Linked DNA regions of Rattus norvegicus. The protein of the gene in region 2 binds, or shares a complex with, the protein of the main gene of each other region. Links are inferred from orthologs where the notes say so. Each region holds a gene or a part of one and is shown on either strand. Other genes may lie near its edges.

Region 1 (4,266 bases), on a different chromosome or scaffold from region 2:
CCAAGTTCCAGGATAGCCAAAGTTACACAGAGAAACCCTGTCAAAAAAACCAAACCAACCAACCAACCAAAACTCAAGTAGGCACTCAAATTTCAGTGAACAGAGTACCAAAACATGGCTATCCAAGACAGGGTCAAGCTGGCCTGGTGTCAGAGGCAGGCAGATTCTGAGTTCCAGGACTGACAGGGCCTGACACTGCTACACCGTGAGGCTCTGTCTCAAACAAACAAATGAGTCAGGATCCCAGGTAGCCCAGATAGCCCTCAGACTCCTGATTCTGATCCCCTACCTCCACTTCCCAAGTACTGTGATTATAGGCACGAACCACCATGCCTGGCCTAGGTCAGATTGCCTTTTGTGGGGCTCAGTAGAGAGGAATCCAGTTTAGAAGTGCCCGCCAGTCACACTGAGTGTTACCAAGGACGAGCATGTCCCCACAATGTCTGCAGCAGCAGACACAGGAAGACACAGCAGACACTGCAACTCTTCCCTCAAGCTTCCTTCCCTCTTATGTCCTGGAAGTTTGGACCACAGTTCCAGTGTCTCCTCCTGGTCTAGACTTCTAGTCCGGGGACCATCCCTATTCAGGCACATTCCTGAAGCCCTAGCAAAACACTGTGCAGCCACAATGTCCCACATGAAGTTGGCGGCTCCCTCAGTTACCTTTTAATGCTATAGTAGATACCATGACCAAGGCAACTTAGGAATGACAAAGTTTAATTTGGGGCTCACATTTCTAAAGGCTTAGAGTCCGTGACCAAAACGGCAGTGAACACAGCAGCAGGCAGGCAGCCAGGAATGGTACTGGGGTTGAGAGCTTACATCTGATTTACAAGCACGAGACACAGAGAGTGTGCTAGCAGGGAAACCTCAAAGCCCATGGCTAGTGACTGACACACCTCATCCAACGCCACACCTCCTGACCTTTCCCAGGTGGGTCCACTGAGGACCAAGAATTCACATATGAGCCTATGGAGGCTAATCTCATTCAAACCGCCTTGTGGCTATAGTGCTGTCTGCCTGTAGGCAACAGTGCCTGTCTTAGAGGTTGACCCCAATCCAATCTCAGTTGCCTGTAACTTGGGTGGGGGCCCCTTACCCTCGAAGTACCAGGTCAAGTCTGAAAAAAAAAGGGGGGCGGGAAGGTCAACTGGAAAAAAGAGTAAAGGGAGGGAGACATGGGGGTACGGCCAGGCATAGTGGTGTACACCCAGAACCCCAACACTCAGGAGGCTAGGGCAGGAGAAATCACCATGGGTTAGAGACTATGGCACTCTGGCTAGGCCCAGAAACACCATGTGACAGAGAACCCAGATACTGGGTACCTTGGTCTCCATCTTAACCCCTGCCACCCTCTCCTAACGAATCAGATCCTGATCTCTCTCTCTTAGTAAGCTTTTATTTACTGTTTGGAGACAGACAGTATCACCAAGGCTGGCCTTGAATTTGAACTCACAATCTTCCTGCCTCTGCACATACACTCCTATGTGCCGAGTGTGTACTACCTCACCCAGCTAAATTTTATTTTATTCTAGTGAGAACTGAGGGGGGAAATATATATTTATATATATACATACACACATACATACAGCTTAGGTTTAGAGTTAGGGATTGGGAGGATAGCAAAATTTCCTCTGAGATCACACCCTTTGGAACTTTCCAGTTTCTTAGAAATGAAAGAAGATATAGCTTTAGAAAAAGGAAATAGAAGTCTCCCCCAGGTTGTCCTTGAACTCATAATCCAGTGCTGAGATTATGAATATCCACCAACGAGTCTGGCTCTCAGAATAGTTTTTGAAGATAAAAGTTATCCTTGCACTTTCTCTTGGCCACATTGGAAAGCCCACAGTGATAAGAATCATCACGAAAGCAGGCAGACCAACGGTGTGGAGAACAAGTCTATTTCAACGGGGACCCGAGGATCAGAGTGCGAGAGTGGCAGGTTGGTGCTCTGTGTGCTGTACCAGGAACAAGGCAGCTTTCTCCTCTTCTGGAATCTTCTCTAGTAAATTTCGGGCAAAGGCCTGCTCCATCTGTGCAGGAGGAAGTGAGGAGCGGCCTCAGTGAGCACTGTAGGGACAGCCACCACCCTGCAGCCCCTTCCCTCAGGGAGTTATCTGAGACAAATCATCACAGAGCTCCATCCCGGGGCTGAACTTACCCGCACCGTGATAAGATTCTCTTGGGTATGGCTAGAGCTAGGACTCCTGTCCCAGAAATGCAGTGTTGCTTGGTACTTGGGTAGAGGTCCCTGGCCCTGGAAGTACTGGGCCAAATCTGAAAGAAAAAGGGTCAAGGATTGGAAGGAAGAAGGCAAGGCATGGCAGTAGGTCAGGCATGGTGGTGTGCGGCCAGGCACGCTGGTCAGGCTGAGGTTGGCAGAGTCACCACATTTGAGGCAGCCTGATCTACTTAGTGAGTTCCAGGACACCCAGAGTGGTATGAGGACTTGCCACAAAAGCAAAAACAAAAAAGATAGAGGGCCATGAGTGAAGTGACACTGCCTGGGGAGCCAAACGCAGAGAAAACTGGGATGGGGTAACTCCGGCACCCAGGGCACAGCAGAAACTGTGGTTTGGTGCTGCGAGGAACTAAGCTGTTCTCCCTGCTGCTGCAGGAAGAGGCAGCCCCTTCCTGCAGTTCACAGGAGCAGATGCTCCTGCTGAGAGGCTCGAAGTCCTCAGAAGCAGCAGCCCTGCCTACCAACCCCTTGGTTGCTTGCCTGCTCTCCCAATACTAGGACAGCACTCTGTCCTCAATGTTCCTCTCTCCACTCCTCCTCGCACATTTAGAGGCTGTGACTGGAATCTCGAGAGTGGACGGGAGAAGGAACAGTCCTAGAAGATGCTTACAATATGGCAGAGAGATGGGAGAGAGGGGCAAGTGTGGGTAAGGTGTCTTGGCTCTTCCACAGAGCTGTGTTTGCCAATGTCTGAGGAGTCACAGGGCTTAAAAATCCACGCAAACTAAACTGTACAAATTCACTTAACCACGCTGCTTCCCCAAGACGTATCACTTAAGAGCTCAACTCCAGCTGACCCTCATCTACCGTGGCCTTGGCTAGGGGAAGTCTGCAGAGTGGAACAATATGGCTACAGAACATGTGTATCACACAACGCAGGGGTCCCACGCAGTGAGGATGAGCTGCTGGGGAGGGTGGTGGGGAAACCCACCGGGCGCACAGGATAACGAGGAAGGGGAGGTCGAGCCGGGACACCCTTACCTCTACAGAAGTATGTGGTACTGAAGAGCTCCACACACTTATTGCTGGGCAGCAGATGAGGCCCAGGCCCAGGTGGGGCCTCGGGTGCGTTCCAGGAGATGGGGATGGGGCAGAGGCGCTGAACAAAGAGGCCTCTGGAATTGCTGGCCACCAGGATGCCTCTCTCGAGCTGATTCAGCAGGCTCTGGGTGGGCTCCAGTGGGTCAGGTCTGGGAAACACCACCTGCTGCACCATGCTGCTCTCCGGGTCTGAGGGCTCAGCCACAAGCCGACAGTCTAGGCTGTGCACCTGGATCTCATGCACCACGCGCCCGCCATAGATGAAGGTGAGCAGCAGCGAGTAGTCTGGGGACAGAAAGGTTCAGGAGGAGCCCTGAAGGCTGCTGGGAGGCCCTCTCCCCCAAGGCAGCCCAAGTAACAAGGCTTTAGAAAAGGGAAGCTCGTTTTGCTAATGGGAAAACTGAGGTCCAGAGCAGGAATCCAAGAAAGCACTGGGAGAGAGAGCAGGGCTGAGACAGCTCCTCCTTTCCTAACTAAAGGTTAGGGAAGGTTCCTTTCATCTGATAATGTGGCTCAGTGGTTGCCTACCATGCTTAAAGCCCAGGCAAGGTTCAATCAGCATAAACCCTTAGGACCCAGCATGCTAGCACATCTGTAATCCCAGGAAGACCAGGAATTCAAGGTCATCTTTAGCTACAGTGCTGTCAGTCTGCCGTCATGAGGCTGTCTTTAAAAAAAGGAAGAAGAGGGCTGGAGAGATGGCTCAGCGGTTTAGAGCACCCGACTGCTCTTCCAGAGGTCATGAGTTCAATTCCCAGCAACCACATGGTGGCTCACAACCATCTGTAAAGAGATCCGATGCCCTCTTCTGGAATACCTGAAGACAGCTATAGTGTACTTATATATAATAAATGAATAAATCTAAAAAAAAAAAAGGAAGAAGAGAAAAGAAAGGTGCCTTCCTTCTCCACATTGATGCTTTCCTCTCTTCCCCCATCACTTGGGAGTCATGCCCATTAGAACTTAATGCTCATGGCTGCAGT
Region 2 (3,806 bases):
CAAAGATCCAATTATATACTCCAGGCTAGGGCTAGCCCGGACTTCTGGTTCTCCTGTGTTTGCTTCCCTAGGACTTGGATTACCAGTCTCCAATACCACATTCAGCTCACAACCATCTTTGTAAAGCCTCAGAAGATACGCTGGCACTGAGACACGGCACAGTGGGTAAAAGTGCTCATCAAGGAGGCCTGGCTACGGGGCTGGGGATTTAGCTCAGTGGTAGAGCACTTACCTAGGAAGCGCAAGGCCCTGGGTTTGGTCCCCAGCTCCGAAAAAAAGAACCAAAAAAAAAAAAAAAAAAAAAAAAGAAGGCCCGGCTACTTGGGTTGTGTCCCTGGAACCCATATAAAGATGTCAGTAGAGAACCCCACAAAGTTCTCCTCTGAGCTCTATACACACCACACACACACACACACACACACAGACACACACAGACACACACACACACACACACACACACACACACGCACACGCGCACACACACACGCGCGCACGCGCGCTCTCCCCATCATACAGACACACAGTAGTAGACAGTAGACAATTTAAAGAAATGGTGTCTGGGGCTGGGGATTTAGCTCAGTGGTAGAGCGCTTACCTAGGAAGCGCAAGGCCCTGGGTTCGGTCCCCAGCTCCGAAAAAAAGAACCAAAAAAAAAAAGAAATGGTGTCTGGAGAGATGGCTCAGCGCTGACTGCTCTGCAAGAGGATCTGGGTTCAAATCCCAGCACCCACATGGTGGCTCACAATGGTCTCTAATACCATCACACAGACACACACACATGCAGGCAAAACCTCACCTGCAAATAAAAATAAATCATTAAGGAGCATTTTAATGCACATTTTATAATATTCCACTTATTCTCTTAAGGATTTATTTTATTAAGTGGGTGTGGTAGCCCATGCCTTTAATCCCAACACTGGGAAGACAGAGGCTGGAGAAATGGTCAGTTCAAAGCCAGCCTGGTCAACACAGTGAGTTCCAGGGTATCCAAAGCCACATAGTGAGACATCGTCTCAAAAGCAAACAAAACAGGGTAGACCGGATTAACCCAGTACTTTCCTTTGCTTCTTTACCAAAGCAAAGACTGGACCAGGACTCTCTGAGTGGCGAGGACAGCGTACAGCAGAGTATATAGTCACAGTCAAACCAGAGAAGCGGCAGAAGACACGGAGGCATCATTGGCTGTTGTTTCCCTGTCCCTTCCTGCCTCTCTGTTCTCCTTCTGTGCTGACATCAGACCCAGGACTTGGGAGTGCAGAGGAGCACTCTCCCACTGAGCTCCACTGTCCTCCATTCACTGCACCAGCCCCCGAGGTTCTTACCACTGTTCCAGCTGATCCAGCTGCAGCTCGGGTGCTGGGGCTCCAATGCAGGACTTCTGCTGCTGAGCCTTCCACTCATCCAGCTTTGGCAGCAACAGGTCGACCAGGGTGGTTAATCGTCCAACCAGGGCTTTGGAGATGTCCAGCACCTCCTAGGAAGGAGAACTCATGAGTGCTAAGTACCTCTCACCACCCCCATCCAGCCGATGAAGAGAACAGGAAACTAAGATGGTGAGGCCATAGCCCCCTGATCCCCTCCCCCAGTTCTCTGCTGCCCCCAAACCCGCTCTGCTGCCCCCCAGTTCCCTGATACCCCCTGAACCCCCTCTGCTGCCCCCTCAACCCCCTCTGCTGCCCCTTCTGTGCCCAGCCCCCACCTTTCTCATTCTGTCCAGTTCATTGGCTGTTGTCTGCACAAGCTGCCGCTGTTGGCTCTGATGGGGGTCCAAAGACGATGTCTTCTCTGAAAGGCAAGACCAAAACTCAGACCACATGTTCCTTCTGCTCTTTTCTGTCCAGGGTCTCAGTCAAAAACTGAAAATGCTGGATGGGGAGGAAGGGAGTACCAGAGAAAGTACAGACACCTGGAGTCCCACAGGCAAATTCTGGATGGACCAGAAGCCCATTCAACCTGCTAAGGCAGTTTACTACACAATCCCTCTACCATTTGCGAACTATTCCTCAATCACATCTCTAGTCTGCCCTCCACAACACACCCCACACCTCTGCCTTACATATCGATGGGACTACTGACGCTGACATAAGGGGCCCTAGGTGACCACTGCTCAATGGAGCACCCAGCCTCTGCTGTCCTTCCCACTGGCCCCTAAGACGGCCCCTTGAGTGGACCTACTGTGATTGAGAACTGTGTATCTGAAGCTGAAGACATCCTGCACATCCTTCAGCTGCCTGATGGATCTCACCAGCGCCTGTGGAGGAGATGGGACCCCAGTGAGGCTTTTCTGAGGGCAGAAAAGCTTCGATCTCCACTCCACACCCAACACTTGCCACAGCCACCAACCTCCACAGCAGTCTGTAAATCCAGGATTCTTGTTTCAATCTCAAGCTGCTGCTGGCTCTCCCCTGCCGCTTCAGGGGCTGGCCTGGGCTGCATCTGAAGTAAGAGGTTCTGAACATGTTTGAACTCTGACTGGTTTGTTTGTTTAAGACAGAGTTTCTTTCTCTGTGTAGCCATGGCTGTTCTGGAACTCATGACATATAACAAGCTGGGTTCAAACTCACAGAGATCCACCTGCCTCTGTGACTCAAATTAAAGCTGTGGGACCCAAATGCTGGGATTAATGGTATGGGTCACACACCCCACTCCCACCTGAACTCTTGAGTTTTCATCCCTAATATCAGGACCTGAAATTTTACTGCAGAGTGTGGGGGAGAGCCTGGTCTGAGAGGAGTTCCCTGAGTCTCTGCCAGGTGCCTTGCTGTCCCAGGGGCTTTCTTGCTTGCTTTCTTTTTTTAAGATTTTATTTATTTGTTTTTTTGTTGTTGTTGTTTTGTTTTTTCATTTGACTACACTGTAGCTGTCTTCAGACACACCAGAAGAGGGCATCAGATCCCACTGTGGTTGAACTCAGGAAGAGCAGTCAGCACTCTTAACCACTAAGCCATCTCTCAGTACCACACTGTTCTTACCTCTTGAGCTCTTTGGGCCTGATTCAGAATCCTTTTCTCTTCCAGGAGAAGATTGAAGATCATCTCAGCCAACTGGGTAGGGCCATTGGGAAACATCTAAGTAGAAAAAAAAACAGAAGCACGGTCCCATTTAACTACCTTAATGACCGCCCAGTCCAGACCCTGCCTTCAGTGTCTCCAGTATTTTTCTCCTTCATAGACCCTGAATCTAGATTCAGTCCATTACTCTGCCAGTGACACCCCATGTCCAGACTCTGTCTCCCAGCTCTTACTCTAGACTCAAAGGCTAGTCCCACACTCTTATTCCCAGCTCTTCCAAGTACCTGAATGTCCCGATTGAATTTTCGCAAGTTATGCTGTAATAAAAGGTAGTCGGAGTCCAAGCTGTAGTGGTCCCACTGGTTCAGCTGGTCCAGGATGTTGAAGTATAGCATGTTGGCCTTGGAATGATCACTGCCTAGTACAGCTTCCCTCCTGGGGACCGACACAACAAGGGCTCCATAAACAACCTGCTGCTCTGCGATCGCCCAGGACATCTCGAGGATGGACCCTGTGTGCTCAGAAGGAGCCACCTGAACCCCCAAGTCCTCACCAGTTCTGGTCTTCAATCCAGGCAGCCAAGTGCTGTCGGACGTCCATTGGCAGGAGGCTTTGTGAGTAGAGCTCATGCAACTGGTCCAGAAATGGACTGTCAAGGTTCTGCAACATCTCCCACTGCGCCATTTGGACTCTGAATGGGAAAGACATCCGTTCTCTGCTGGATATTCTATTGGACCAAATCATTCATAGTCTCTTGGCTTATTTACTTACTGTCTGGTTTATAAAACACACAAA

Evidence for each region.
Region 1: the proteins of Stat2 (region 2) and Irf9 are in contact, whole or in part, in a crystal structure (PDB 5OEN), measured with the Mus musculus proteins. The link is inferred for Rattus norvegicus from reciprocal best matches to the Homo sapiens genes STAT2 and IRF9. Residues at the interface, in NP_064347.1 of Mus musculus: Arg163, Gln164, Lys166, Asp167, Glu168, Asp170, Val171, Phe174, Arg175, Thr177, Val178, Phe179, Leu181, Lys182, Asp188, His190, Gln191, Gln193, Gln194, Leu197, Thr201, Lys204, Met208; in NP_032420.1 of Mus musculus: Leu206, Leu208, Tyr212, Leu233, Asp234, Arg236, Ser244, Glu245, Ser246, Ser247, Met248, Asp270, Arg271, Leu274, Val275, Ala276, Asn278, Ser279, Arg280, Phe283, Val284, Gln285, Leu287, Cys313, Glu315.

The regions. Positions count from the first base shown.
Region 1 is NC_086033.1:33,068,316-33,072,581, reverse strand, and holds the end of Irf9 (interferon regulatory factor 9), read right to left. Parts: intron 3,569-4,266; coding exon 3,224-3,568; intron 2,278-3,223; coding exon 2,162-2,277; intron 2,034-2,161; coding exon 1,923-2,033; 3' UTR 701-1,922; downstream 1-700.
Region 2 is NC_086025.1:1,290,035-1,293,840, reverse strand, and holds part of Stat2 (signal transducer and activator of transcription 2), read right to left. Parts: intron 3,703-3,806; 5' UTR 3,696-3,702; coding exon 3,565-3,695; intron 3,447-3,564; coding exon 3,296-3,446; intron 3,069-3,295; coding exon 2,973-3,068; intron 2,452-2,972; coding exon of another isoform or gene 2,437-2,451; coding exon 2,344-2,436; intron 2,252-2,343; coding exon 2,176-2,251; intron 1,786-2,175; coding exon 1,700-1,785; intron 1,475-1,699; coding exon 1,323-1,474; intron 1-1,322. UniProt on the Homo sapiens protein: Signal transducer and activator of transcription that mediates signaling by type I interferons (IFN-alpha and IFN-beta).